Linked DNA regions of Callithrix jacchus. The protein of the gene in region 2 purifies or fractionates together with the protein of the main gene of each other region. This does not show direct contact. Links are inferred from orthologs where the notes say so. Each region holds a gene or a part of one and is shown on either strand. Other genes may lie near its edges. The genes, in order: NCL and RRP1B.

Region 1 (15,159 bases), on a different chromosome or scaffold from region 2:
AGGCGTGAGCCACTGTGCCCAGCCTTTTTTTTCTTATTTTTGAGACAGAGTCTTACTCTGTTACCCAGGCTAGAATTCAGTGGTGCCATCTCACCTCACTGCAACCTCCACCTCCTGCGTTCAGGTAATTCTCCTGCCTCAGCCTCCCGAGTAGCTGGGATTACAGTCATGCGCCACCACACCCAGCTAATTTTGTATTTTCAGTAGAGACGGGGTTTCTCCATTTTAGCTAGGCTGATCTCGAACTCCTGACTTCAGGTGATCAGCCCACCTCAGCCTCCCAAAGTGCTGGGATTACAGGAGTGAGCCACCACGCCCAGCCAAAAAATTTTTTTAATTAGTCTGGCATGGTGGCAGGCACCTATGGTTTTAGGCACTTGAGAGGCTAAGGCAAGAGGATCAGTTGAGTCCTGAGCTCCAAGCTGCAGAGAGCTACAGTCGTGCCACTGCACTCCGGCCTGGGCAATGGGCAACAGAGCAAGACCCTGTCTCTTAAAAACAACAGCAACAAAACAAAAACAAAAACTGTGCAATCCATAATGTGGTGATATCCCTTCTTTCACTCCTGATAACGGCTATTTGTGTTCTCTCTTTTTTTCTTATCAGTTTTGCTAGGGGGCTATCAATTTTATTTATGTTTTCAGTGAACCAATTTTTGTCTTGATATTTCTACATCATTAATATTTATTATTTTTATTATTTCCTTTTCCTACTTCTTTCTTTTTTACAGGCTTAAACTGGAAACAGACAATGAACTTTAAAACTCTATCTTATTCCACTGGGTGTGGTGGCTCACACCTATAATCCCAACACTTTGGGAGGCTGAGGTGGGCAGATCATGAGGTCAGGAGTTAGAGACCAGTCTGGTCAACGTAGTGAAACCCTGTCTCAACTACAGATACAAAAAATTATCCGGGTGTGGTGGTGTGCGCCTGTAATCCCAGCTACTTGGGAGGCTGAGGCAGGAGAATCGCGTGAACCTGGGAGGTGGAGGTTGCAATGAGTCAAGATCGTACCATTGCACTCCAGCCTGGGCATCAGTTCGAGACTTTGTCTCAAAAAAAAAAAAAAAAAAAAAAAAAAACCATGTAATCCCGGCACTTTGGGAGGCTGAGGCGGGTGGATCACGAGGTCAATAGATCGAGACCATCCTGGTCAACATGGTGAAACCCCGTCTCTACTAAAAATACAAAAAATTAGCTGGGCATGGTGGCGCGTGCCTGTAATCCCAGCTACTCAGGAGGCTGAGGCAGGAGAATTGCCTGAACCCAGGAGGCGGAGGTTGCAGTGAGCTGAGATCCCGCCATTGCACTCCAGCCTGGGTAACAAGAGCGAAACTCTGTCTCCAAAAAAAAAAAAAAAAAAAAAAAATTATATATATATATATATATAAAAGTTAGCCAGGCATGGTGGCACATGCCTCTAGTCCCAGCTACTAGGGAGTCTGAGGCAGAAACATCACTTGAACTTGGGAGGCGGAGGTTGCAGTGAGCTGAGACTGCGCCACTGCACTCCAGCCTGGGCACGGTGAACAAAACCAAGTCCCTGCTGTCTGAGGGAACATGCATGTCTTTTCATGTTTCCCTGTACAGGGATCAGAGATAGGGTAACCCTCCTGGCCTCTTACTCCCAGGAGGTTGGGGACAGCCATGGGCTCCCATCTATGAATTGGATGGAATTGGGCTTTTGAATGGCTACAATCCTTGGGGATTTGTTATTTTCCTTCCTCTCCTCCTCAGTCACTCTTAGTGTGTCTAAGTTCTTTGCTGTTGTGTTGTTTTTGTAGAGACAGGTGTCCCGCTGTGTTGCTCAGGCTGGTGTCTAACTCCTGAGAGCTCATGCTGTCTTCCTGCCTCAGCCTCCCACAGTGCTGGGCCACTGCCTAAATTTTATTTTATTTATTTTTTTAAGACAGAGTCTTGCTCTGTTGCCCAGGCTGGAGTGCAGTGGCACAATCTTGTCTCACTGGAACCTCCGCCTCCTGGGTTCAAGTGATTTTCCTGCCTCAGCCTCCTGAGTAGCTGGGATTATATAGGTGCCTGCCACTACACCCAGCTAATTTTTTTTTTTTGAGATGGAGTCTTGCTCAGTTTCCCAGGCTGGAGTGCAGTGGCACGATCTCAGCTCACTGCAACCTCTGCCTCCCGGGTTCAAGCAATTCTCCTGCCTCAGCCTCCTGAGTAGCTGGGATTACAGACGCAGGCCACCGTGCCGGCTAATTTTTGTATTTTCAGTAGAGATGGGGTTTTATCATGTTGGCCAGGCTGGTCTCAAACTCCTGACCTCAAGTGATCCACCTGCCTCAGCCTCCCAAAGTGCTGGGATTACAGGTATGAGCCACCGTGCCTGGCCCTACTGCCTACATTCTTAAAGGTGGAGGAGGAGTTTTGGCAGGAAGGAGGGATCATTTGTCAGATGCTACAGGGAAGTAGGTGAACTGAGGGAAGACACTGGCTTTGGCATCTTAATGAACATGATGGGTGTAGGGGACAGAAGCCACACTTCAAGGAGGCTGGAGTGAGGTCATCCTGAAAGTTTGGCAATGAAGGGAAGAGGGGACAACTCTGCGAGGCAGCATGGTCAGGGGACAGTATTTTGGGATGAGAAAAGCTTTGGTATTAGGTTGAGGGGAGACAGACATACAAAGAGAACTGGGTAACTCTCAGAGAAAAAGCACAGGACATGCTTCCCAAACGTCTCAGCTGTAGGATCCTCTTAGAAACCTCTTTTGGCCGGGTGCGGTGGCTCACACCTGTAATCCCAGCACTTTGGGAGGCCAAGGTGGGCAGATCACCAGGTCAGGAGATCGAGACCATCCTAACATGGTGAAACCCTGTCTCTATTAAAAATACAAAAAAAAATTAGCTGGGCATGGTGGCACGTGCCTGTAATTGCACCTGCTTGGGAGGCTGAGGCCGGAGAATCATTTGAACCTGGGATGTGGAGGTTGTGGTGGTCAGAGATTGCCCCACTGCACTCCAGCCTGGGTGACAGAGCAAGACTCTTGTGTCAAAAAAGAAAAAGAAAAAGAAAAAAGAAACCCCTTTTGTAGGGGTTATGCAGCATTATTCAAGGTGGGAGACACCCTGGGCCTACCCACTAGTCCCAAATCTGAGGGTGAGTTTGGAGTTAGAGACGCACAGGCCTGCAGCCACGTCATTATCCGGGCTCCCTCCAGCAGCAGTTTCCAGATTCTTGCGGGCTTATGCTGCCACCTGCTGGAAGTATGATAAACGTGGCGACAACCATTTGCAGAAGAGAACAATCACTTTTCTAAAATGGCTGCAAACCCCATCAAATCAGAAACTAGAGACAGTCAGCAGGGAGGACTGTGACTTCAGTCCCTAATCGCAAGCCCTGGTGTCTTTCTGGCCCTGCAGGGTAACCACCTTCCATCCTCATCTTCATTTTTTTTTTTAGCTTAAGTTTCATTCTTGTTGCCCAGGCTGGAGTGCAATGGTACAATCTTGGCTCACCACAACCTTCGCCTCCTGGGTTCAAGCGATTCTCCTGCCTCAGCCTCCTGAATAGCTGGGATTACAGGCATGTAACACCACGCCCAGGTAATTTTTGTATTTTTAGTGGGGACGGAGTTTCGCCATGTTGGCCAGGCTGGTCTCGAACTCCTGACCTCAGGTGATCCACCCACCTTGGCCTCCCAAAGTGCTGGGATTACAGGCATCAGCCACTGTTCCCAGCCCTCATCTTCATTCTATAGGAAATTGGCACGTGATTAGAACAAGCAGTGAGAAATCATAGGACTGGACCATCTCTACTTTCCTTAAGGAATGGAAAAAAAAAAAAAAAGAATCAAGAGATAGGAACCTTAGTGTCCTGCCCTTGCCTTGCCTCACAGCAAGTTAGTAGAGTGGCTGAGAAAAAAGCCCCGCTGCTGAGCATAGTAACAGCAAGTGCCTCTTTACCAAACAGCAACTTGATAGAAATGCAAGCCCCACCTTGGGAGCCATGAACTCCTCCTTCAACTCAAGCCCTCCCTTGCACACAGCAAGGGAACCTACCAACATCTCACTCCCATAGGCTCTGCAAGTACCAAAAAAGCAATGGCTGTGCTGCACCAGAGCCACCAGCAATCCTGGCTCCTGTTCCTAGATAGCCAGCCTGTAGATTATTGCTTACTTTAACTGATGGGCCTCCCAAAAATTGCAAAAAGAAATCATCTATGAAATATTGTCACCTGACTGAAGGCTGCAGGGGACCAAGGAGAGTCCTGGAGGCATCATTTGATAGATTCCAGAGGACCTAGACACCAAGGTCACAAGGTTTTTCATTTTCTGTTACCCAGGTTGGAGTGCAGTGTTGTGATCACAGCTCACTGCAGCCTCCAACTCCTGGGCTCAAGCAATCCTCCCACCTCAGCTTCCTGAGGACTACAGGCTTATGCCATCATGGCCAGCTAATTTTTATTGTAGAGATGGGAGTCTCACTCTTACCTAGGCTGGTCTCAAACCCTCTCCCCACCCAGGCTTCCCAGGGATTACAGGTATGACCCACTGCACACAGCCTCACAAGATATTTTGACAGTTCCACTCTTGCCCAGGCTGGAGTGTAATGGCGAGATCTTGGCCTACCGCAACCTCCACCTCCTGGGTTTTGAGCTTCCTGCCTCAGCCTCCCAAAGTGCTGGGATTGCAGGTATGAGCCACTGTGCCTGATCCCTCACACATCTTTCTTGAAAGCAACTTGGGTCAGCCATTGGAGATAACTTCATACTTGTTCATACTACCTGCCTTGCTGCAATTTCAGAGCTAACAGACTGAATCCATGACAGCCAATGGGCTTCAAATAACTGAAAGCCTTCGATTCTTTGGCTAAAGGGCTTCCTTTTTTTCTTTACGTTTGCCTCATACGAGATCCTCCCACTGCTTTTTTCTCATAGCTACTACCCTTGCTGGCCACCTTCTTCTCTAGAGCATGAGGGTCTTGTAACTGGATTGTCACCACCCTCATCCCCTGGACACTGAACAGGGCTGACAAGCAGGTGATAAGCACAGGGATCCTTAAGATTTCAATACCCAACTCAACCAGAGTAAACCCAAAGCAGCTGTCGTCTTCAGGTTGCCTTCTAAACTTAACAGTTAACTGATTTCACTGGCCTGACCAGAACAGGCTTTTGGACTTGGCTACCTACGTTGATTTTAGGCACTGGGTTTCAGTTAAATTCATCACAATGTTGATAGTCCTTTGACTTAGACCTTGCTTATAAGCCAATTACTTATGACCAGAAAATAAGCAATATATGTAGTGCAGAATGAATGGCTTTTTTGGGCTTTACTGGATTGGCAGTTTCCTCCTCAGCCCCACAGTCCCAATGTCCTTTGGTCTATCCATCTAGCATGAGTTCTATTCCAGAAGTGCTTCTTTGTAGTCTCGCCGTTGCCCAGCTTGTGGGCATGCCCTGTAGTGATGCACGCTCAGCTCACTGTAACCTGTTTCCCGGGTTTGACCTGACTCTCCTGCTTCAGCCTCCTGAGTAGCAGTGACTACAAGCGCATACCACCACACGGAGCTAATTTTATATCTTTAGTAGAGACAGGGTTTTACTATGTTGGCCAGGCTGGTCTTAAACTCCTAACCTCAAGTCATCTGCCTGCCCTCACCTCCCCAAGTACTGGGATTGCAGGCGTGAGGCAGTGCCTGACCCTGATGCTCTTAACTACTTGTCCTAGGAAACCTGTGTTCCCATACTTTCCAGAGTCTTCTTCTGGACATAATCCTCAGGCTTGCTACAAGTGGGAGAAGCTGCAGCCACCTTCAAGCCAGCACCAGGGCTGTAGGAGTGGGTGCCCTCACCAGCTTTTCAGCCAAGTTGTGGGCTGGGACACTGGAAATGCACACACTGAGCATTTCCATTGGTAAGGATGAAGCAGGTGGCAGAGCTGGCTATGCCATGCTCTCCAGTGACAATCCAGGGGCAACACTCTTTAGGAAGTAACACGTCTGGCACCAGAGTTGACTTTTAATTTGTCCTAAAGCTGCTGAAGCAAAAACCATGATAAAACATTTTGCTTTCTTTTTACAACCCCCAGAACGCAAAAAAACAAAAAACAAAAAAACCACAACAACAAAACCCAAACTATTTGTAGGAAAAAATGGTTTTGTACATGGGATGAAACAATATAAATTCAAAACTTACAGATAAGGGTTAGCTCTATCACTCAACTCTTTAAAAAGTTTATACGAATATCCAGTCAAAACCAACAAGGTATTGCCCTTGAAATGTTATCTATACGATTTCCAAGGAGACCACAGGACTGTATACTGTCTTGGAATGTCCTCAGAAGGCTCTGTCATTGATCAGGTAACAGTAAAAACCCCAGAGTCCTTTCTTTCAAATGGAAAAGGGAAAGCATAGGAACAGAAGCTATTCAAACTTCGTCTTCTTTCCTTGTGGCTTGTGGTCACCTCCTCCTCCTCTGCCTCCTCGGAAGCCACCTCGCCCTACAGGGGGAAAGCAAGACGCTGTTAAAGTATGTATACAAAGCTCCTCCTCCCCAGTGATTAGGAATCCTGACAGGGTACAGGGTCTGAAGCATATATGCTGTGTGGCATCCAGTACATACTGAAGAAGTCATCCCTGTATACCTTACCTCCAAAGCCTCCCCGGCCTCTGCCACCAAATCCTCCTCGGCCTCCTCTGCCACCACCTCGGCCTCCAAAGCCACCTCTGCCTCCACCACGACCCCCAAAGCCACCTTCACCCTTAGGTTTGGCCCAGTCCAAGGTAACTTTATTTCCATCAATTTCACCATCTTCCATGGCCTCCTTGGCAGCTTTGGCATCCTCCTCACTGTTGAAGTCTACAAACCCAAACCTAGAACACCAAATGAAATTGCCCATTATAAAAAGCACCTGCTGCACATGTCCCAGGTAAGTTCAGGCAAGTAGTCTTGTTTGGTTGGGAAGAGAACCAGTGACAGAATAGTTCTCTATGGAAAACTAACTGGTATGACAGCTTGAACCCCAGAATGTCTCACAAAACAGCCAAATATACCTCTGTAAAGACAGAAGGTAAAATAATGACAGTTCTGTGAATTCTCTTCTTCTTCTCGTGCGAATCCATAAACTGCCATCGATAGACAGAAAGGAGCTCAATGAGAAGACACATTAGAGTCGGGGTCTCCACAACAAAAACCCCTTCAAGTGGAGGCAGCACCCATGCTTCTTGTCCTTACCCTTTGGAGGACCCAGTTTCCCGGTCAGTGACTATCCTTGCCCGAACAGAGCCGTCAAATGACTCCTTTAATGTCTCTTCAGTGGTATCCTCAGACAGGCCTTTGACAAACAGTGTTTTGGATGGCTCTGGGGAAGGAAAAAAATTGTGACTATGTGAAGTCACAGTTTAGACATAATAACAATGAAATCTGCACGATGCCTAGTATGACTATTGGCCAAGAATGCTTGTCTTAGTGGAAAAGCAGTTAAAAGCAACTAAGCCAACTAGTTTTAATTCAAATAAGGCTGTTGTGAGTTTCCATTTCTAAATTGCCCCTGCATAGTTGATCTCCTGCCCCAGAACTAATATGGAAAGTGTGAGAAGCAACCCAAGCAAGTGCTGCCCACTGGAGGGGCAGGAAATCACAGGCAAGCTTGCTGCTCTGAGTTGACAGCTGGATCAGAACTTGACTATCTAGAGGAATTTTCTTGAGATTTCATCAATTATTTCTCAGGTAATCAGTCATCATATCCAGTTATTCTTCACTCAGCAGCAACAGAAAACACAGAAGTTGTGCAAAAAATAAGCACTGAAAGCACTGGAGTGCCACCCCCAACCACAGCATCCTATCCAGGTTAACTTACGGCTTCTGGCATTAGGCGATCCCCTGGGTCCTTGCAACTCCAGCCTGATGGCTCTGCCCTCAATTTCCCTTTTATTACAGGAATTTAAAGCTTCTTTAGCATCTTCAAATGAAGCAAACTCTATAAATGCATACCTGAGGATGAACAGTTAATGCTTAGACTAAGCTGCCAGGCACATGGTCCTCTGTCACATGATGCTGCCAAGCCCCTTCCCTCAAGTCCATACCTAAATGATGCTATTTACACTCATTTACATAACTAAAATGATTTGGCTTTTCTGACAGGATCACACATGACCTTACCTTCCTTTAGACCTATAAGACACACACAGACCATAACTGATGACATAAAGGTATTATCTTACCCTTTAGATTTGCCATTTTGGTTCTGGGGTACTTTGATAAAAGTTGCTTTTTCAAATACTTCCTGAAGAGTTTCTTCTGTTGCACTGTAGGAGAGGTTGCTTAAAACCAGTGTTTTTGATTCACCTGCAGACAGAGATGCCACAATCTTAAAACTTTGACACACAGGTTCCCAACTTTGCTCACAGCAGTACTATCTTATTCCTAAGAATTTCAGTGCTTGAAAGAGTTATTACACAAATACTGATGTAAGTAAAATCCACTTCTGTTACTCAACATACTGAGTACCTAGTATATATGCTGCAATGTCCTGCAGGTTGTTCTTTATGTATAGGCTGACTACTGGTCTGTTTTCCTAGAACAATAATCTAAGTTCAAAACACACATGGTTGAAGTCATTTAAAGTACAAAACATACCTACAAAGGAAGCTTGATTTGCCTACTGTGTTCCAATGCAAAATGATTTCAGAGCTCTCATTCAGGACTAGAAATTACTACTCCAATTAAGAGTATGACTAGAAGTATAATGTCCTGATCTTCACTTACGTTTAAGTAACTTTGATTAAAAAGTACTTAGGAAGTACAAAGACAAAGGATTTCTCTCCAATTCTGCAACCCTGTAACAAGCCTAATTTCTTACCACTCCAAGTGCTATTCTTTCCACCTCTATAGTCTTGATTTTGACCTTTCTCTCCAGTATAATACAGGGAAATAGATCGCCCATCAATCTCTGTTCCCTGCTTTTCTTCAAAGGTTTTCTCTGCATCAGCTTCTGTCTTAAATTCAATATAAGCAATCCTGCAATGGAGGGAGAAGAACTAGTGATTTTAAAAACCATATTAACACAAATGCTTTTACCTCAGCAACACAGAACTTGCTTCAGATCTGAGTACAATAAATGCCCTTAGTTTTATGCCAATCAAAATGCCAAACTTCCCTTCTAATTTTCAATCAAAACTTGAGCTTCCGCTTTCCCACTAAAAAGTTTTACAAAAACTCAATTTTCTTCAGTCACTTCACCTCACTGAAAGCACTGCTACTACTTACAAAACTTATTTATTATAAGCTAGGCACATTTCTTGCTCCTTTATATGTATTAGCTTGTCTTTTAAAATCACCCTATGAGTACGTTATCCCCACAGTACAGATGGGTAATTGAGGCACAGGTTTACAGATTAAATGGCCCACGATTACACCTAAGAAAATCAAACCAACATTTCTTTTGTTAATGCAGGAAAGTGCGTTAATGTTGTAAAAACCTTAAAAACCCCAACATTTCAATAGACAGAACATACCCTTTACTTTTCCCATCCTTGCTGACTAATCTGATCTCCGCAGCATCTTCAAACACTTCTTTTAATTCATCCTGAGTGACTTTGTAAGGGAGATTTTTAGCCAAAAGTGTTCTCGCATCTCGTTCTAGATTAAAAAATAAAAATTAGCTGTATGGCCTAAAAAAACCCTGAACATTTAGCGACAATAAAAGTGGGGCAAAAACAGACATAGCTCTATTCAACAAATAATTTGAGATCCCATGATATACAAGGCTCTGTGCTCAATATGGAGATACCGCGGTGGCAACACACAAGTGGTCCCTCCATGTTGTCACAGCTGATGTCAAACTATCTGTTCAAACTAGAGTTCAACCTAGAGTAGATGTGCATGATTTTTAGAAACAAACAAAAAAATGAATATACCAATTTAAAACACTACAACTGTATCGAGAAAAAAAGCAAAGGATTCAAACCGTAATTAGGGACCTACTCTAGTTTCAGTGAAGACAGAACCCTTTAATTTAGGTGCATCTAATCTTATTCTCAATGAAAGTGCTCATTTGCCTAACTCAGGAATTTACACCGTAACACTAGCAAGCAGCACCGAGTACTCTTGTAAACACTAACTCATTAAATCCCGCATTAAGAAAGCAGGGTAAACATTTTTTTAAAAATAAAAGGAGCCGGGCGCGGTGGCTCACGCCTGTAATCCCAGCACTTTGGGAGGCCGAGGCGGGTGGATCACGAGGTCAATAGATCGAGACCATCCTGGTCAACATGGTGAAACCCCATCTCTACTAAAAATACAAAAAATTAGCTGGGCATGGTGGCGCGTGCCTGTAATCCCAGCTACTCAGGAGGCTGAGGCAGGAGAATTCCCTGAACCCAGGAGGCAGAGGTTGCAGTGAGCAGAGATCGCGCCACTGCACTCCAGCCTGGGTAACGGGAGCAAAATTCCGTCTCAAAAATAAATAAATAAAATAAAATTTAAAAAAATAAATAAACGGGTTCCAAAGCATTCTCCCTAGCAGTCTAGCGCCTGGGTTTGCTGCATCATCTCCTAAATCACTACATACCTTTCTTACTGTCTTTTCCTTTTGGTTTCTCTAGTTTAATTTCATTGCCAAAGACTTTCAAACCAGTAAGTTCCAAGGCTTTTTCCAGGTCTTCAGCAGATTCAAAATCCACATAACCAAATTTCCTTTGAGGTGAAGAAGAGGGCAAAATTCCAACAGGTGAAAACACAAATCGAAATCCACAATATGTATTCCAGACAAATGTGATGGTACAAACAAAGATCACATTAAAAAGCACCACTGGTATTAGCAAAATAAAGTCAAGGCTCTGCAAATTGTAGCTACAGAACAAGGTCTTAGTGTGAAGATATGACATGCACATTCACCTCTGAGGTCCTCATTACTAGCTAAATTGCTTCTAACAACTGACCACAGCAGCTGAAAAGAACACCTATAAGCACTAATACAGGAGAATCCTGTCTGGATAAAAGCATTCACTGTGACTAGTCAAGTCTAACAGTTTTAGGTACTTCCAAAAAAATAAACATCAAATTATTATTTTAAATTGAGACAGAGTTTTGCTCTGTTGTCCAGGCTGGAGTGCAGTGGCATGATCCTGGCTCACTGCAACCTCCATCTCCCAGGTTCAAGCAATGCTCCTAACACCAAATTATTAAAACTTACTGGCCGGGTGCTGTGGCTCAGGCTTGTAATCCCAGCAGTTTGGGAGGCTGAGGTGGGCAGATCACAAGGTCAGGAGATCGAGACCATCCTGGCTAACACGGTGAAACCTCGTCTCTACTAAAAATACAAAAAATTAGCTGGGCATGGTAGCACATGCCTGTAAGTCCCAGCTACTCGGGAGGCTGAGACAGGAGAATCTCACTTGAACCCAGGAGGCGGAGGTTGCAGTGAGCCAAGACTGCACCACTGCACTCCAGCCTGGGTGAGAATGAGACTCTGTCACAAAAAAAAAAAAAAAAAAAAAAAAAAAACAAACTAAAGATTATTCCATCCTATACTAAGAGTTATCCTATATTAAAAAATTGCGCTTTAGGGGCTCTATAATTTGATTTTAACTTAGTTCACTAATGCTAATCCTTGAAGATGTTTACATTATTCATGTTTAAAAGCACCAGGCTAAAGTGCTAATAGGGGAGGGAAAGGCGTTAACAGACCCATGTGTAAGATGCAGGGAAGCACTTACCTAGTCATACCAATTCTGACATCCACAACAGCAAGATCATTTTTAGCAAAAACATCACTGATACCAGTTTTTAATTCAGGAGCAGATTTGTTAAAGTTTAGGTTTCCAACAAAGAGATTGAAAGCCGTGGTCGGTTCTGTGCCTATTCAAAAAAAGCTGAACTCAGTCTATTTGTAAAGTGTGGTAAAAAGTTTCCAATGCAAAATTTCTATACACAGCACATCAGCACACTGCAAGGTAACATCAAGTTTCAGTATTAAGTCCCTTTGTCATTCATCATTTGTGCTGTTTATCTCCCCCACATCCCCCAATTCTGCAAGTTACCTTCCACCTTCTGTTTCTTGGCTTCAGGAGCTGCTTTCTGTTTGGTCATTTCCTTCTTTCGTTTTCCAGATGCTTCTTTGACAGGCTCTGGACAAGATGTCAAACAATGTATCACCCATCAATAACCACAAACACTTAAGTGTCTCCTTTAAACATCTCATGTCAATGTATGTCAGAATCTAATTTAATTACCTTCTTCTTCCTCTTCTTCCTCCTCGTCCTCATCATCTTCCTCCTCATCCTCATCATCATCTTCATCATCATCCTCGTCCTCATCATCCTCTTCATCTTCATCTTCAGCTACGTTCTTGGCTTTCACAGAAACAGGAACAGCTTTTGCAGCTTTCTTTCCTTTGGCTGGCGTAGTCTCCATAGCTTCTTCTTCAGAGTCTGAAAGAAAAGCCACCTAGTCAAAAAATTCCAGCAATCACCAGAAATAAATAGCGGTTTTAAAATCTAATGGACATAAAGTGTAGTCCTGTCACCATGGTTAGTTAATAGTCATGGCAAGAGTAGACCACTTAGGGTCAGGCACAGTGGCTCACACCTGTAATCCCAGCACTTTGGGAGGCCAAAGTGGGTGCATCACCTGAGGTCAAGGTTCGAGACCAGCCTGGCCAATATGGTCAAACCCCACCTCTACTAAATATACAAAAATTAGTCAGGTGTGGTGGCAGGCACCTGTAATCCCAGCTACTTGGGAGACTGAAGCAGGAGAATCGCTTGAACCCAGGAGACAGAGGTTGCAGTTAACCAAGATCATGCCATTGCACTCCAGCCATGGCAACAGAGCAAAAACTCAGTCTCAAAAAAATTTAAAAAAAAAAAAAAAAAAAAAATCACTTTGAACCAAAATCCTGTATTATGAAAAACAATCAGACTATGCTGTTGAAATTTTCTCAAGGCACAAAATCATTAATGGGTAATTAAGTCTGGCACACAACAGCCCAGAGAATTCCCACAAGGATTCCAATCTCACCTCCAGGATCTCCAGGTTGTTGTGGAAGGAATACATAGTATTGCTCCCAGAATCAAGATAACTTGCAAACAGAAGCCTAGTAACTACCAAGAGAACGCCTTACCATCTTCATCATCCTCATCCTCCTCATCATCATCTTCATCATCCTCATCGTCCTCATCCTCTGAGGCAGGGGCAGCAGCTGCTGCTTTCACCACTGCTGGTTCAAATTCATCATCATCCTCATCATCGTCATCATCCTCATCTTCCTCACTGTCATCCTCCTCTTCATCACTGTCTTCCTTCTTGGCATTCTTGCCATTCTTTGCCCCCTTGGCTGGGATGGCAGCACCCTTCTTACCAGGAGTTGCTACCAATGCTTTGCCTGGTGTGGCTCCCTTCTTGCCAGGTGTGGCGACTGCTTTGGCCAGTGTAACTGTCTTCTTGGCAGGTGTTGCTGCTGCCTTTTTGCCTGGAGTGACAGCTGCTTTCTTGGCCGGTGGGGCAACTGCAACCTTTTTTGTTGGGGAAACTACCACTTTCTTTGCTGGGGTTGCAGCAGCCTTCTTGCCTTTCTTTTGAGGTATGACAACCTTGAGAATAAATGAAAACCAAACCAGTAAGAAGACAACCATGGTCCCAACTAGTGTTAGATTCTGTCAATGCCTATGGTTCAAGACCACAAGCCCTAGACACACGTTACCATGTTAAACTCCATATTATCAGGTGAATATCTAGGAATAAGGAACCCTTCTGAACACTTAAAATACCTCTGAATTCTCATACCTCATACTTTCCCAAATCCCAACTTTCTCACCTGAAAATGGTAATAGTATCATCCTTACATGTCTAAGGAACAGGAATTGCTATGTGTAAATTATTCACAACCGTACACATAGGAGGCTCCAAGCATTAACTGTTATTAAATCATCTGAGGCTCCTACAGTAGGTGCTGGTACCAAGCTTGGTGAAGCTCAATTCTTAAGATACGAGATGAAATGAAGATCAAATAGGCTGAATATCCCTTACAAAACGATGAATCCACCATTTAGCTACATTAATAAAGTCCCACTGAAATCTGCTTTTTGATTACTAGTTTTATCAGGCAATGTATGGAAAAGTAACTTTTATTCAATTCTCAAAGAGAAGTCTGAGCACAATTCAGTCCTCACTTGTCTTCATAGCGAACAAATAAATAGCCAGGAGTGCTAGAGGGTAAACGTTAACACAAAGGGCGGTGGCAGCCCTCAGTCTACACCAGAGACAACAGTAACACAGTGAGTAGTGTAATGGAATAGAGACCAATTAATCTTAAATGGAGCCTAGGAAAGGAATCTGGTAAGGTTATCCTCAGATCTGAATACAACGCCCAGCTCTGCCATTGAGAGAACAGATCTTTCCCTTGTGTCTAAAATGTGGGGGTGAGGATAACATGTTGAAACTGGACAAATGTAACGATTCAGCACAACAAATCACACTCCAAGCCCTGCAGAGGCACATGGAAAGGAGATCCCCAGATCTGTCTCAAACTCACATTCAAATATTTAGCCAAATGACATCTTGACATGAACGAAGAGCTTGTGAAACACTCGATCACTACAACAGGAGATACGCAGATGAATAAAATCTTATTTTTATCATAGACATCCAATTTCATGTCCTAACTCCCCATTTTGTAGTTTTAACTTAATTCCGCATTGAGTTGGATGAAATTACCTCTTCTCCGCTGCTATCATCTTCTTCTTCTTCTTCCTCTTCTTCTTCTGACATTTCCTCATCTTCACTATCTTCTTCTACCTCCTTTGGAGGAGGAGCCATTTTCTTGGGGTCACCTTGATTTTTACCTGCCTAAAATGGTAACAAGTACATCATCACATCTTCACTTCGACATTTCAGGCCATTCACGTTTTGCCATTACTGTTCAGTGTAAAACGCCATCATCTCCTTCCTCAGATCCATTTCTCATAGGGCCAAACAGCACAACTAACATAAAAACTAGCCCTAATGGCAATGCAAGAGGTCCTGCTCTCAACCGCCCACACATGTTTGCTGTCAGGCTCTACAAACAGAAAATCAAACCTACGGTAAAAAGTCAACCTGAAGAAGTGAAGAAATCATTTCTTCAGGTTGACTTTTTACCGTAGGTTTGACTTTTTTTTTTCCTTAGGCTTTCTAAGTACACCCGTGTTTTAGTACTTCA
Region 2 (15,759 bases):
CCCCACCCGGGCTGTTTTCCTTAGCGGGAAAAGGATGTTCCTGTCCATTGGTTTTCTTCCTCCACTAAAGCTGTTGCTTGTCACTTGTGAATGTAATATAAAAATATTTTGCCTTGCTCCTACTCAAAATATGTTCAGTCATATAAAAATAAATTGAAACATGTTATTACGGGACAAGTGGCAAGACTGCACATTAAAACCCTGAGGACTTGTCATCTGCATCAGAGACTGGCACGGGCTTCTCCTCCAGGCTGGCTCCTCTACCTCAGGGTGTGCGGTCTTTCTATGGAAGCCGAAGCCCAGAGAGGCGGCTGCCTTGTCCTGGGTTTCACAGGGTCCTCACTGGTTATGCTCCTGTCATGCCATCCTTGACCACAAAAAATAAACTTAGCAGAAGAGAGAAACTTAAGTGATGTAAATCCTACTATTGAACCTATGGATTTTACAGAGAAATAGTACCCTGACAACAGATGCACACCCTTCCTTTTATTGGAAAAGCCAATTCGCCTAACTACGTTGACACTGCTTCCCTTTCCGTGTGGTCGAGAGGTAAGAAAGTGAGTCCTTGAAGCATGACTGTTGGTGTGTGTCAGTGTATGGGGGACTGGCAGAGTCTGAGTGGTCAAGTGTCTTTCCGTCCACAGCAAGAACCCGGGAGCACGAGAAAGGGAACGCGAATTACCTGCAGGAGGGCTTCATCCTGCAGCCACATGCAGTAGAAGAGCCCCTTCCAGATTTTGAGAAGTTCTTCCTGACTGAAACCTCCTGCAAGGCAAAACAGCACAAACGTCTTATCTGAGCGTCTACGCATCTCCTTGCTTGACATGGAGAAACTGGGGAAGTACCCCACATACATTTTAACTCTTTCATTTGCAAATGTCTTTTTAAAAAAACTGAAGCAAACATTTCCTTATTGAATAAATAAATGACTACCATACCTATGGCTTTGTCAGCGACAGGGCAGGGTGGCAGCGGTGGCCCAGCCTCAGGATGAGGAGGCAAATGTCATCATAACATGAAATCCACCAACACAGTGCCCATTGATGAAATCAGTTCCCTGCCAAGGCCCTCCCCGCCCCCCACGTGCAGCCAGCCCACACACCATTTTCACTGGTCTCATGAAGTAAAACTGCAAATCTTACAGGAGAGGCAGGACTTGCTCAAGTCATCACGAGCCCAGCAACGGGCAGCCTCACTCCCAAGAACAGAAAACCAGGCAGGCTGAAGACACGGGAGCTCCACACAGGACATCGGAAAGTCAAAGGCCTAGGAAAGGGCCTGGGGACTCTGACACTGCTTTGGAACATCGTTGCAAAAATGACCCTTGTAAGAATCCTAGTAGGAGGCCCAAGTGGCTGTCTCCCAGTCACCCTCCCTGGAGTGGTGTCATTTACTGTGGCATCACCGGGGGGGCTTTGTTCTTAGCTACTCCGAGCTCTCTGGCTGCCTTCATGATCTATGGCTAAGTGACCAAGTCTCGCTCAGCCTTCGATCTCCGGAGTAGACCCCAGGTGTCATAAAATATTCACTGACTGACATAAAGACTCACAAAATGATACGGTAGGTGTACACTCTTGGAGTCCCCAAGCCTACGGACCATGAAGTCAGGACAAACAGAATCCTCAAGTCTGGATGTGTGCTACAAACGGTCTTTATTAACATTTTACCAGAAGGCACTAGGAGAACTTTTTTGCAGCAGCAAAGTGGCATAAACTAGATGAATGCAAACAAATGCATATTTAGAATCAACGTGATCTTCGATACTCCGAAAGCTGCTTAAAAAGTGACAAAAAGACCTTTTGGATACAGCACAGTTGATTGAGTACATTCAGAGTGAGTCCCCTCATTTACAGGCAGCGATTTCCTTGACTAAGGGCGTTCTCCCACCAACAATATCACAATGGGGCATTTTCATTGTTTTCTTTTGAGATGGAGTCTTGCTCTGTCACCCAGGCTGGAGTGCAGTGGCACCATCTCAGCTCACGGCAGTCCCTGCCTCAGCCTCCCAAGTAGCTGGGATTACAGGTGTGTGTCATCATGCCTGGCTAATTTTTTCTACATTTAGTAGAGATGGGGCTTCACGACGTTGGCCAGGCTGGTCTTGAACTCTTGACCTCAGGTGATCTGCCCGCCTCGGTCTCCCAGTGCTGGGATTACTGGTGTGAGCCATGGTGCCCAGCCGACATTTTGATTCTTTTATGATAGTTTTCCATGTAAAACTAAGGTATCAGGAACTATCCTAAAACTAGTTTATTAAAGTATATTTCCATTCAGAGTGGAAGAGATACGTGCCAACTGGTTCTCGTGCCCTGTTGTTATGAACAAGGCATGCCTGGGGGTCCTCACATGGGTAATGTAAGTACGGTGTGAGTGATAAAGCTCACTAGAGCTGAGCCAACTGCAGCCATGAGCACAGCAACTTTTTTTGTCACCGTGACCTGCACTTACATTTAATCATGTTCAAAGACCACATATGTCCCCAATGAATTAAAGGCTTTGGGCAAGGATCATAAATGGCTGCTAACACATTAGATGAAAAGACAGCATCCACATGTGGCAGCTCACTTGAGCTCAGGAGTTTGAGACCAGCCTGGGCAACATGCAAAACCCAGTCTCTGTAACACCGTACTCCAGCCCGGGTGACAGAGCAAGATCCTGTCTTAAACACACACACACACACACCCAACAAACAAAACCAAGAAATTAGCAGAGCATGGTGGCATGTGCCTGTAGTCCCAAGTACTCAGTGGCTGAGGTGGGAGGATGGCTTGAGCTCAGAATTTGAGGCTGCAGGGAGCTCTAATCATGCTACTGCACTCCAACCTGGGCAACAGGGCAACTCTGTCTCTCTAACGAACAAAGAAACAAAACTGAAAATGGATGTGTGAGACCATCAACACCCAAACCTCCAAACCCACTGACCAATCACTAACACACACAGGCAATCATTCCATCGGTGCCAGAGGTGATGGCAACAGGAAGAACGAGACACCCACCTTGTGAAATATTCTTGCAAAAACAAAAGCAAAAAAAACCCCCCAAAAACAAAAAACCCCACTGTGTCAAATCTTAACTATTAATACAGTTGGGGGGAAATACAGGAAACAGAGGAACATGTTAAGTGAGACAACAGGAAGTAGACAATAAAACCCCAAACATGTGAAACTACAAGAAATGTGACCTGTGTCCTCCAACAAAGAAACCGCACGGAGAAAAAGACGGGTAAGAACTAACAGAATTTAAGTCTTAGCAGACACACTAGCCGAATGCAATGGGTGGGCCTCATTTGGACTGGCCGTAAAACGCATTTATGAGATGATGAGAAAAACGAAACAGGCCGGATGTTTCTGCTATCAAGGATTTTCTAAGGGCAATGATGGCACCGTGCCTATGTTAAACAAGGATCCTCATGATACAGACACACACACTGCGGACACCTGGAAATGTAATGAGACGTCTGGGACTTGGTGCACACGAAGCTACGGGGAAGGAGGAAGCGGGCAGATGAGACAAACTGGCCAGGTCCTGATGAAAGCAGAGGCAGAGAGTGAGGGTGCTTTTTATATATTTGAAATATTCCTTAATAACAAGAAGGAAAAAAAGGAGCGTCTGAGATTACCAAAGTGACGCCTGGCTGTCTCCTTTTTATTTAAAAAGCTCTGCCTAGTGGGATGTGTGGGGTCCCGGGGGCAGATCCCTCATGAATGTCTTGGTGCCATTCTCCTGGGATGTTATATAACCAAAGTGAGTGCCCTGGTTCCCGTGGGATCGGACTGCTAAAGAGCCCGGCACCTCCTCTATTACTCCCTCTCTTGCTATGTGACATGACAACTGTCCTCCCCCTCCGGCCAAGATTGGATGCTTCCTGAGGTCCTCACCGGAAGCAAATGCTGGAGTCATGTTCATACAGCCTGCAGAGCCCCGAGCCAAATAAACCTCTTAGCATCAGGTATTCCTTTATAGCAATGCAACAGACTAAGACAATGATGTCACTGGAAGGTAGCAGCGTTAATCAACTTAAAAACAAAAAGAGGATTTAAAGGACACAGGTTACTGTGTGGGGTCAGGCGCAGGGCAGTCCTTGTCCCTGTCCTTGGTGGGCAGCTACATGGTGATTCCCCTCCAAGGCTCCCCACCTTCAAGCAGGGCACAGAGGGACACTGTGGTCTGGGTGGGGCTTTCCCCACATGGAGGGGAGGCAGCTTTAGCCAATTCAACAGAATTCCCTCGGCCACAGGACAGGTTCAAGAAGAGCCTAGCGACCCTCTGCAGATACAGATCCTCTTGCTCAGGCCTGAGGAGTCTCTAGCTCTCTCCTACTGCACCTGAAGAGAACACAGTGTTTGTACCTGCTCCCAGCCACCTGGTAATGTAAGTGGAGCCTGTCTCAGAATGGAGAACGATCTTGGGGCAGCAGGGTTGCAGTTGAGAAAAACAAGATTCTGGCACCAGCAGTTGAGCTCCTCCACAAAGCTGTGCTTCACTTTCCCCTTAAAACTAGGGTGGCGTGGATGTTCTGTCGAGTTGCAGCTGAAAGAGTCCTAACTGATAAAAACACGCATTAACCCCAAAGAACCTTACCACCAAAGGGCTATCATCACAAGCCTGGCTTGCTCCCTGCCCTCGAATCCCAGGCTCCTACCCAGAGGGACTGACACCGCCTGCCTGATGTGCATCTTTCCAGATCTTTCCTGGGCGTTTATTTACATCACAGTTACAGTTGTGTGTGTGACCTAAATGGCATACTATTCTGTACTCTGGTCTTCCTCACTTAAAAACAGTGTATTTCTCTCCAGATGGTCTCGGAAGTGTACCACTGGGTCAAGCCAACGGAAAGTGATGATGCGATCTGCTGGGGATCTACTGTGGACAGCCCGCACCCAGGACACACAGAGGCACAATATTATGTCCTACAGAGGTGTTCAAAATGGAAAACAGTAGATTCTGACAGAGCGACAACAGATCCTGGACAGGAGGTAGCAAAGTGAGCTGCGTGAGTAACACGGTTTGGCTGTGTCCCCGCTCAGATCTCACCTTGAATTGTAATAATCCCCACAAAACTGGGAGGGACCGGTGGGAGCCATCTGAATCATGGGGCAGGTTTTTCTCATGCTGTCCTACGGACAGTGAATGGGTCTCATGAGATCTAACAGGTGTTTTTTTGAGATGGAGTCTCCCTCTGTTACCCAGGCTGGAGTGTAGTGGTGCAATCTCGGCTCACTGCAACCTCCACCTCCTGGGTTCAAGTGATTCTCCTGCCTCAGCCTCCTGAGCAGCTGGGACTACAGGCTCGTACCACCATGCTCAGCTAATTTTTATATTTTTAGTAGAGATGAGGTTTCACCATCTTGGCCAGGATGGTCTAGACCTCTTGACCTCGTGATCCACCCGCCTCAACCTCCTAAAGTGCTGGGATTACAGGTGTGCGCCACTGCACCCAGCCAAGATCTAACAGTTTTATAAAGGCGAGTTCTCCTGCACATGCCCTCTTGCTTGCTACCATGCAAGAGATGCCTCTGCTTTATTTCTGTCTTGCCCTCTGCCATGACTGTGAGGCCTCCCCAGCCACATGGAACTGTGAGTCCATTAAACCTCTTCCCTTTATAAATTACCCAGTTTCGGGTATGTCTTTATTAGCAGCATGAGAACAGACTAACACAATGAGAAAAGATATTCTGATTTTCTCTTTTCCAGGAGGCAACAGAACAGCACTGAAACAAACCTTGGCGTAGGTCCCAGCTTCCTACTGACAAGGGCCCAGTGGCCGAAAACTGTCCATTAACTTTTGAGCCTCAGTTCTATCGCCTATACTGTAAAAGACTGATGGTTAGGGTCAGACCCAAGGTGTGGAAACACTAAGAATAAAGCACTATTCAGTTGGTGGCCTATTACAGTAATAATGGTCGCACTCTCTTCCCAGAGTCTAGTTACAGTCTGTCCCCTATTAAAACATCTATTTTCCATATATGTCTGTGTGTGTGTTCACCTAGGAATTTAACAAGCCAACGGTTTTTGAAGTATTCAAAGTAAAAGAGAGAAATGTTTATTAGCGAATAACCTTCTGAGCTCTGAAAGGCGAAGCACATTGTCCGTAGCAGTTTGCTCTCACCGCCCTTCTGTCTTCTTGAGGCTCAATCTCTTAAACTTAATACAACTGTGTTTTTACAACAACACAATATAGGTTTAGTTATTTCAAAACGAATGAGGTAGGCCGGGTACAGTGGCTCACGCCTGTAATCCCAGCACTTTGGGAGGCTGAGGTGGGTGGATCACCTTAGGTCAAGAGTTCAAGACCAGCCTGGCCAACATACAGTGAAACCCAGTCTCTAGTTAAAAAAATACAAAAATTAGCTGAGCGTGGTGGTGCATGCCTATAGTCCCAGCAACTTGGGAAGCCGAGGCAGCAGAATCGCTTGAACCTGGGAGGTGGAGGTTGCAGTGAGCCGAGATAGCACCACTGCACTCCAGCCCAGGTGACAGAGTTAGATCCATCTGTCAAAAAAATACAACACTCACACACACACACACAAACACACAAAACAAACGAGGTGAACGTTGAAGTGAGATATGCAGATATGTGAAACATCAGTAAGTTCTGAAATGAGCAAATCCAAGAGCTACCTCAGCATGCAATGAGCCCAGGAGCCATTTTAGATGCAGTTAAGGGTCACACTTGAACACACCCCAGTGCCAAAACATCCACATCTCCTATGTATCATAACGCTTGGGTAGAGAGAACCCTCACCCCATTGTTATTAAAAACGTATTTCCTGCATCATCTACACTGACTCCAAGATGTACTGTTACATGTCGCCAAAAAGAAAGCAGTGATGCAGATGAAACTTACCAGGTTGACTTCAGAATGCCTCGCATTTCAGTACCTATGTTTAGAGCTGCAGAACAGGTAAGATAGGCAGGGACTGTCTGTTTTCCTCACCGCCATATTCCCAGTGCCAAGAATAGCGTACATAGTAGTAGACAGTTGGCACTCTATAAATGTTTGCTAAATATATGAGTGAATGAATGAATGAATTGGGACAGATGAGCTTTACGAATGAAAGGCATGCAGAGTGATCATTTTACGACTGTCAGTACACAACTTGAACGGTTAGAGCATGAGCGCAACATTCTGTTACTTAAAGCAATACAAACATTTCCAATTTATTTTTAAAATTACAAAGCTACCCATTTATGTTGCTGCAGAACTGCTCATGTTTCAGGAAGAGTGAAATCTCAGATTTCCTTTATAATGCCTAAGACAAGATGCAAAAAAAGTTTCAGCCTGTCAACGGGAGTCAAATATCAGGTCCAGTTATTTCCAAATTTGTGTTTTGACTGTGGTGGGGCAGCGCTATGGCGGAGACCTTGTTTTCCTGTCCGTTATCACTGCCCATGATGCTCACAGTGCAGAGTTATTTTTTGAAGGCCCACTGTCCTCCATGCAATGTGGTGGTGGACAAGATGTACGAGTAACCCTGGGTGTGACAGGCACTAAGCAGACAGGACTCTGGGGCACTGGTGTAACTGGTCTTCGGCCCCTGCATAACCCCAGCATTTGCAAGTCCTGGGCTGGCTCACCAAAGGGTTTGAGCAAAAGGCTCTCTGCCTAGGCTGTCTTAGCCCCATACGTATTGCTTTCGGTCTTCTGCTCTTGCACAGGTCAGGACGTTTTATGGCTACATGTACTCCCACTTCTGGCTAAGAAAACAGATGGAAACTTACAGTGTCTCTGGAGAAGAATGACACATTAACAGATAAGTAAGAAGCAATGTAGCTAAGCACTACAACAAAGACACAGTAGATGTTTTAGAGCCCTGGAGGAGTAGGGCGAGGAAGGCTCTTTGGAGGAAGTGATGCCGAACTGAAGGTGAGGAAGACATGGGATCCTTTGCAGAGCGAACAGGAGAAGCAACGCCAGAGAGGTGAGAAATTGTGTGTTGTACGCCAGGAACCACGAACGCTTCTGCTGACGGAACACGAAGCAGTCACATGGGGCTTAGGAGGAAAAGCACCTGAGGACAGATCATGACTTGCAGATACTGGATTTCAAAAATATTGGTGATGTGGGATCAGATTTGTTTTAGGAAGATGACCCTGGGCTGGTCTGTGGAGGAGATTCGGGGGGGGGGGGGACACAAATGAAGTTAAGGCAACCAGTTAGGGAACATGTAGGTGCAGAAGTCCGGGGAGATGCAAAGGGCCTAAGGTCGGAGAATGTATTTCAACAGGAGGTGAAGGAGGTAGGGCTGAGGGGCACTGGATGTGGGTCAGGGCAAGAGGATGAGGAAGACAGAGGAGTCCAGGACAATCCTGTGTGTCTGGCTGGAGTCTGAGTGGCTGGTAGAAACTAGCAGCTAAAAGAAGAGAAAACAGGTGGCAGAGGAGCAGCAGCAAAGAGGCTTTGGGGGGAAGAAAACGGGCCGTTTTTTGGCATTCTGAGTGTGAGGTGCAAGGTAGAGACGTCAGGCTAGCAAGGCTCACTGGAGCTGCAAGCAGGAAAGGGCTGGGTCAACAACTTAGCTTTAGAAACCACCAGCATACATGGGGTACCCCGAACTGTGCCAGCAAACAAAATCTCGTAGGGAGACCCTAATGGAATCAGTCAGGAATTCTGGTTTTCTTTCCTTTTCCACCAGAGTTCCCAGGAAAGCGTATTTTCTTTTTTGGGGTACTCGGGTGATTTCTCTTCAAAATAAAACAAACTGAGAATATCAGTGGTGGGGAGATACTATCTGCTCTTCTAAGCAGATTCTAATGTATTAATACCAGCAGCAGCTAAATCACACTTAATCTTGCTGCAGCGTAAAACCTCTATCACACATTGTGGTTCATATCATATGGGCTCACTCAAGAGTTTACAAAAAATATTTTTGGATCAGGTAAGTGAAATCCTTCAACAGCAGTGCTGTGTGATCTGGCCACTGCCTACATCTCCAGCTTCATCTCATAACACTTTCCCCCTCCCCAGCTTACTGGTCTTTCAACCACTCCTAGGGGAGGGCATTCACTCCTTCCTGTCACGGCATAGGTGGTTTCCGCCCATCTCTCTTCAGATCCCAGCTGAACATCACCCAGTGAGGCCTTCTCAGAACAGCCTCTCACGAAGAGCAACCTCCTTCACTTTTTTTTCTATTACCTGTTTTTCTTTCTTTCTTCTCTCTTCTTCTTCTTTTTGTTTTTAGAAGACAAATTCTTGCTCTATCGTCCAGGCTGCAGAGCAATGGTGCAATCTCGGCTCACTGCAACCTTGCCCTCTCGGGTTTAAGCAAGTCTACCTCCCCAGCCTCCCGAGAAGCTGGGGCTACAGGCCCGCGCCACTGCGCCTGGCTAATTTTTGTATTTTTGGTAGAGACAGGGTTTCACCAAGTTGGCCAAGCTGGTCTCGAACCCCTGACCTCAGGTGATCCGCCCGCCTTGGCCTCCCAAAGTGCTGGGATTACAGGTATGATCCGCCATGCCCGGCGTACTACCTGGCTTTCATTCCCTTCACTACACTTACACGAGGTCTACTTTATTTGCCTGATTGTCTCCTTGCTTTATCACCAACAGATCCTCCAGAGAAGGGATTTTGTCTTCTCGCCTGCAGCCCCCGCACGTAAAGGTGCTGGTCAAAGAAAGGCGGGAATCACCGGCGGGACAGCAGGGCAGCGCAGTGATGCCAGATGCCGGTAAGCTGGGGAGGGGGAGAGTGTTATGAGATGAAGCTGGAGATGTAGGCAGTGGCCAGATCACACAGCACTGCCGTTGAGCTGCATCAGGGCAGCCCAGTGATGCGAGATGCGGGTCAGGGAATCCGCCCCATGTGGGTCTTTTCTCAGCTTCCCCGCTCACCGTGACTTTCGCAAGTAACAGAACCCCCTCAACCTGTTTCCTCAACTGTAAAAAGGCACTAGACAGCAAGAAGCAGTTCTGGCAGCGCGGAAACCGGAGGACACTCTCGGTGTCACGACAACGCATGGAAGCCGCGTTCCGCGCCGCCGCCCCTGCCCCGGGCCCGCCATGTGGCGCGGCTGACCGCCGCCGTGCGCCCACCTGTCTCCCTCTGCGTCTTCACGCTGATGTACTGGCGCAGCTTCTTCACCGCCCGGTCCCGGATGCCCTTCTCGCTGGACGCCAGCCGCTGGGCAAACTGGATCTCGGCCGGCTGCATGGCGGGGGCCATCGCGCCCGCTGGGGCATCCCCGGCCGCGCAACCCACAGTGCCGCTGCCGCCAACCGTGCACCGCTGAGCCGTCGCCGTCCGCACGAGCCGCGACTGCGCAGTAGGCGGCGGTGACGCGCGGGCTGATGGCGTCACAAAGGCGCCGGCGCTCGTGGTGCGTTCTGGGAGTGAGCGCGGCCCTGGCCCTGGCGGCCGTCGTGGCGGTCTGTCCCGCGTGTGCTTGGCTCCGTCGCTGCCTTTCGATTGCCAGAATTGAGGCTGTAGACGGCGAAGTTAGCCAGGGTTAGGACTTGGCCGGGAGGAGACGGACGGATGTTGGCAAACGGTCTAGGAATTTTTATTTGTTTGACACAAGGTCTTGCTATGTCGCCCATGCTGGAGTGCAGTGGCGCGATCTCGGCTCACTGCAGCCTCGACCTCCCAGACTCAAGCGATCCTCCCACGTCGACCGCCGGAGTAGCTGAGACTACAGGCGCGCGCCATCACGCCCCGCTAATTATTATCATCTTTTATAGAGACGGGGTCTCGTTGTGTTGCCCAGGCTGCTCTCAAACTCCTAGCCTCAAGCGATCCTCCCGCCTCGGCCTCTCTGAGCGCTGGGAGTACAGGCTGCAGCCACCGCGCCTGGCCACGGTCCAGGATCTTTTTTTTTTCTTTTTGAGACGGAGTTTGGCTCTTGTTACCCAGGCTGGAGTGCAATGGCGCGATCTCGGCTCACCGCAACCTCCGCCTCCTGGGTTCAGGCAATTCTCCTGCCTCAGCCTCCTGAGCAGCTGGGATTACAGGCATGCCCAGCTAATTTTTTGTATTTTTGGTAGAGACGGGGTTTCACCATGTTGACCAGGATGGTCTCGCTCTCTTGAGCTCGTGATCCACCCGCCTCGGCCTCCCAAAGTGCTGGGATTACAGGCGTGAGCCACCGCGCCCGGCCCGGTCCAGGATCTTTAGTCCCCTTTAGCACACCCCGTTGGGCCGGCAGCTCTCCTACGAAGTTTTTAATTGTGGAGCCTCCGGGTCCCCCCGGGTGGAGTCGAGAGTGGAAGGAAAGGCCGGCACTGGGGCCTGCTGAGCGGGTGGAGAGCGTTCCTTTCGCCAGCGCCAGCGGAGCCTCGGGCAGCTCGGCACGCCCCTACCCCGGAGCCCTGGTGCCAGTGCAGGGGCGCCCGCGCCGGCGTCCCGAGGCCTGGAGAGCACGCGCGCTTCCCGGGGGAGCTGGGCAGGGCGGGCTGCTTGGGAGGGAAGAAATCAGCTTTGGGTTCATGTATAACCCGAGGCCATCCTATAGCTTGCGGACTCGGCAGGCGTTAATGGCCTAGATGACTCCAAACGTAGTGTGTGGGGGGTTATGTACGTTAACCCCATTCAGTTATCTGGGCGACCTCCCGAGATGCCTGTGGCCAAATTCAACCCTTAATATGAAAGCGCCTGAATCCCAGCGAGGGAAGGCGGGCCGCGGAGGCGAGTTTCCAGCCAAGATTGCCCGTTTCAACGCAGTCCCCCTTAGGGCAGCACTCCCCGCCAAGCAGAAAGGACCCCTCCGATTTTTTTTCTTTTTTTTTTTTTTTTTTTGAGACGGAGTTTCGCTCTTGTTACCCAGGCTGGAGTGCAATGGCGCGATCTCGGCTCACCGCAACCTCTGCCTCCTGGGTTCAAGCCATTCTCCTGCCTCAGCCTCCCGAGTAGCTGGGATTACAGGCACGTGCCACCGTGCCCAGCTAATTTTTGTATTTTTAGTAGAGACGGGGTTTCACCGTGTTGACCTGGATGGTCTCGATCTCTTGACCTCGTGATCCACCCGCCTCGGCCTCCCAAAGTGCTGGGATTACAGGCGTGAGCCGCCGCGCCCGGCCCCGATTTCTTTCACATGACGCTTACAGCAGGGGCTGACTTTCCTTCTGCTTCGTAGATAACAAGTTTAAAATCCGGGCTCAGCCGGAAGAGCCAAAGCGCGTCCTCATCACGGCCGCTCCTCGCCCCCCAGGCGGAGAATGCCGCTCAGGTTCTGCGAGGTTTGAGCCTCGTGGCTCTCCGTTCCCGACCCCCGTGGACGCGTTCCCGCGCTTTCTGGCGTGAGGGGTCAGAGGTCGCCGCCTTCACGCAAGGAACGTAGCGCAGGGGGCGGCGGCCATGGACGAAGCGAGCGGCGCTCAGGAGGTCAGTTGGGTCGGGGAGGAGGCCCCGGCCACTGGCACCCGCGGAGCCTCGCCCGCTGCGCTCGCGGTCGGCCCGCTGTCCCGTGCTTGGGGAGGCCTGGAGACCGGGCCCCGGACAGCGTGGGCTGCGGCGGAACGGGGTGGAGGCCTGGGCGCGAGGCGACTTCGCCTGCAAAGCCACGCGGGGGCCGGGTCTGTTTGGCCGCGCGCGGTGGGGCCTGAGTGGCGCCAGCGCGGGCGTGGGAGCGTGGGATGGATGGTCCCTGCGCTCGCTGCCCCGCGGAAGCCCGGTTTCCCTGCGGAGGGCCGCTCCGGGACTTGGCGTCAGGCTGAGAGAGTCTGCCCCGCACAGAATGGTTTACATTTCCCTTTTCAGACGGAGTCTCGCTCTGTCGCCAGGCTGGAGGGCAGTGTCGCGACCTCGGCTCCCGCAGCCTCCGCCTCCCGGGTTCAAGCGACTCTCCTGCCTCAGCCTCCCCGGTAGCTGGACTACAGCGCGCCACCACACCGCATAATTTTTGTATTTTTAGTGGAGAAGGGGGTTTTACCACGTTTGCCAGGATGGTCTCGATCTCCTGACTTCGTGATCCGCCCGCCTCGGCCTCCCGAAGTGCTGGGATTACAGGCGTGGGCCGCCGCGCCCGGCCTCTGGCCATGTTTCCGTATTTGTGTAGACACGGTCTCTGTTGCTCAGGCTGCTCCAACCCCTGGCCTCCCAAAGTCCTGGGGTTTCAAGTGTGAGCCACCGTGCCTGGCCTGTGTGCACTTACTGTTTTTCACATCTGCCCCCTTTCTGAAGGCTGAAGCCTCAGCTTTGAAAACGTTTATATATACATAGAAATGGAGCAGAGCATGCAGTAGGTGAAAAGGATTTGAAGCAGTTATGAACACAAGAGGCATGAAAGAAAAGGAAACAAGTTGACTTGGGCTGGTTTTTTTTTTTTTTTTTGTCATATGAAGAGAAATGTAATAAGATCTGCTTGTTCTTTTAGCACATGGGAACCAAAGAGGAATTTGTTAAAGTCAGAAAGAAGGACCTGGAACGGCTGACAACTGAAGTGATGCAAATACGGGATTTCTTACCCAGAATACTAAATGGGGAGGTGCTGGAAAGCTTCCAGAAATTGAAGATTGTAGAAAAAAGTGAGTCTGCATTTTTAGCAGTCATTGGTGGTGACTAATTTGTTCTGGTAGATTTACCTTAGGGAAGTAAGTAATTGTAAACACATTTGAAGGCGCTCGTATAGTCCTTGTGATGACATTTGGGAGAGTCCGATGACCTAAGAAAAGGGAGGTTTCCTCAACATAGTAACTTGGGCATGTAAGTTGGTGGTAGAGGAAACGTTGCCAGTTTTCTGAGCATCTATTATCAGCTTCTTTCTCTCTCTCTTCATTGGCAGAAGAAGTTTACACTCTGTAAAGCTCTGCTCAGGAAATTAAGTACTTACCGTGTAAGTTAAGGATCGTGCCATATGGAAACCTTGCATGGAGTTAACTTGTCAGTAGAGATAGCTGGAAGTGTGTTCACTTACCTTTAGGTGGATGGGTGAGTCACTTTCTAGAATTGGTTGAAGTTTAGGCTTTCTGGTGTCCGTTCAGCCTTTTGAGATTTGAGCCGCGCCGTTATAGGAGACTACGGAAGTTCCTGGAGATTGACTCAGCCCTTGGCTGACTGAGACTGAATCATGTCAAATCAGCCAAATCACAGCGTGACATTTGGTGGTTAGCCCTCACTGTGTGCCCCCTAGAAAAGGTGCATCCGGAGGGCCCAGGCAGGCCTAGCACTCGTCCATACAAGGAGGTAGCTCACCCCAAGAACATGAGTTTCTGTCTTGTGCAAATGTATCTGGTGAGTAGGCCAGCCATATCCAGTTGGAAGGGATAGTGCCTCGCGCTGTTTACATTGTCTTTGGTTTCCTCAGATCCATTCTCTGCCTTGTGGTGTGCTCTGGGAGGTGAATCCCTGCAGTCAGGGTTCCCCCAGTTACCTTGCTGGGTGCCAGTGGGGGTTACCAATGGAAGGTATTGCTGGGTGGAGAGGTTGGGTGGGTGTTTCTTCCTGCTCCCTCCCTGCTTTGCCGTGGTGGGGTGGCAGTAGCTGCATCCCTCCACAACGGAGACTCCTGTCTAGAGCCCTCTTCCACTGTCCTAGCTCTTGCTGGACTCCAGTAATGCTGTTTTCTCCCACCTGCTTCTTTGGCTCTAGGGCTGTTGCTAGTCCCTGGGTGCCTCACTGTCCCCTGGTGGTTCCTTTATCTCTGTTCTCCCCTCTGTAAGTGGTCCTCTCAGAGAAGTCTCAACATCTGTGTTGATTTGTCTTTCCTACTGGGACCCTGCCAGATATGTGCCATGTCATTGGCTGCCAAAATGTCAGGTCATTGACTTCGTAATTTCTGATTTCATGCCCATCCATCGACTTTTTGAGATGAGTCATTCCTTGTGCATTTATCTTCAGGAAAGGAAGGTAAATAGACATACACCAGTAGCAGTGTATGGCAGCCTGCTGGTTGGTTATATTCTCACTGTAAATAAATAAACTGGCATTCTGAAAAATACATCGGGGCCTCGTGAGTTAATTAACATGAGTGTCTTTAGTGATCATTCTCCCTGCCAAAACCAAACCCAGTGAGGGCCACAAACAAATCTGTGGTCACTTGACCACAGTCAGACTTGGGGAGATCTGATCTTATAGTCCCGGCCTCCCCAATGCTATAGAGTCACCTTTTTCCATGATCTCGGGCGATTCCTGCTTGTTCTCCTTTGCTGATGTATCCTCTGCTTAGCGGCCTTCAGATAGTGCCTGAGGCTCAGCCCTAGGCCCCTTCTCGCCTCGCCCCGTGGCTTCTCCCTAGGCAGCCTCATGCACACTCACAGCTTCAGCTACCGTCTTGATGCCAGCGGCTGGCTGCTGGATTTACTCTCTAGCCCAGCAGTCTCCTCAAGCTCAAGGCCGTGTGTCTGACGCCTGCCTGGCATTTCTTCCTGCTTGTTTCACCATTATTTCAAATTCTGAATGCTTGCTCTACCCTAATTACTAGTCTGAGGTCACCAGGAACAGACCCGCAGTCTGACAGAGTGAGGTTTATGGCTCTTTGCAGTGGGGAAGACCACACTAGAGCACCAGAGAAACTAGGGCATTTCAACACAGAAGAAGATAGAGCTGTTACTGGACTTGGAGACGAGTGGAATTAGGTGAGGCGTAAATGAAGCAAAACAGAGCTGTGTCTAGAGGGACCAGTATCAAGTCTGACTGTGAAGTGGACCCAGGTCCTGTTCCCTTGAAAACTACAAAGTTCAAATAGATGTGGCACATTGTTCTAGCAATCCTTACTTGAAGCTCTGCAGTGGCTGGAAATAGTCTCTTCTGTGTCACAGTGACTTAGATCCTGCAGGCAAGAGTGGAATCTTCTTCCTGGTGTAATTTCAGACAACAAAGTTTCTGAC

Evidence for each region.
Region 1: the proteins of RRP1B (region 2) and NCL purify together in Homo sapiens (affinity purification with mass spectrometry; 3 studies listed by BioGRID and IntAct, with this or other methods). This does not show direct contact. The link is inferred for Callithrix jacchus from reciprocal best matches to the Homo sapiens genes RRP1B and NCL.

What each region holds. Positions count from the first base shown.
Region 1 is NC_133507.1:152,888,671-152,903,829, forward strand, and holds the end of NCL (nucleolin), read right to left. Parts: intron 14,808-15,159; coding exon 14,676-14,807; intron 13,553-14,675; coding exon 13,084-13,552; intron 12,392-13,083; coding exon 12,194-12,391; intron 12,089-12,193; coding exon 12,002-12,088; intron 11,965-12,001; exon of another isoform or gene 11,895-11,964; intron 11,820-11,894; coding exon 11,678-11,819; intron 10,656-11,677; coding exon 10,531-10,655; intron 9,600-10,530; coding exon 9,476-9,599; intron 8,979-9,475; coding exon 8,821-8,978; intron 8,307-8,820; coding exon 8,183-8,306; intron 7,953-8,182; coding exon 7,819-7,952; intron 7,709-7,818; exon of another isoform or gene 7,629-7,708; intron 7,321-7,628; coding exon 7,194-7,320; intron 7,123-7,193; exon of another isoform or gene 6,985-7,122; intron 6,833-6,984; coding exon 6,609-6,832; intron 6,460-6,608; coding exon 6,383-6,459; 3' UTR 5,960-6,382; downstream 1-5,959. UniProt on the Homo sapiens protein: Nucleolin is the major nucleolar protein of growing eukaryotic cells. It is found associated with intranucleolar chromatin and pre-ribosomal particles. It induces chromatin decondensation by binding to histone H1.
Region 2 is NC_133522.1:49,326,150-49,341,908, reverse strand, and holds the start of RRP1B (ribosomal RNA processing protein 1 homolog B), read right to left. Parts: upstream 10,260-15,759; 5' UTR 10,163-10,259; coding exon 10,033-10,162; intron 9,674-10,032; exon of another isoform or gene 9,669-9,673; coding exon of another isoform or gene 9,550-9,668; exon of another isoform or gene 9,500-9,549; intron 9,443-9,499; exon of another isoform or gene 9,052-9,442; intron 7,923-9,051; coding exon of another isoform or gene 7,879-7,922; exon of another isoform or gene 7,797-7,878; intron 766-7,796; coding exon 683-765; intron 1-682. Other genes in the region: HSF2BP (heat shock factor 2-binding protein), read left to right, coding at 12,290-12,316, 13,308-13,458. UniProt on the Homo sapiens protein: Positively regulates DNA damage-induced apoptosis by acting as a transcriptional coactivator of proapoptotic target genes of the transcriptional activator E2F1.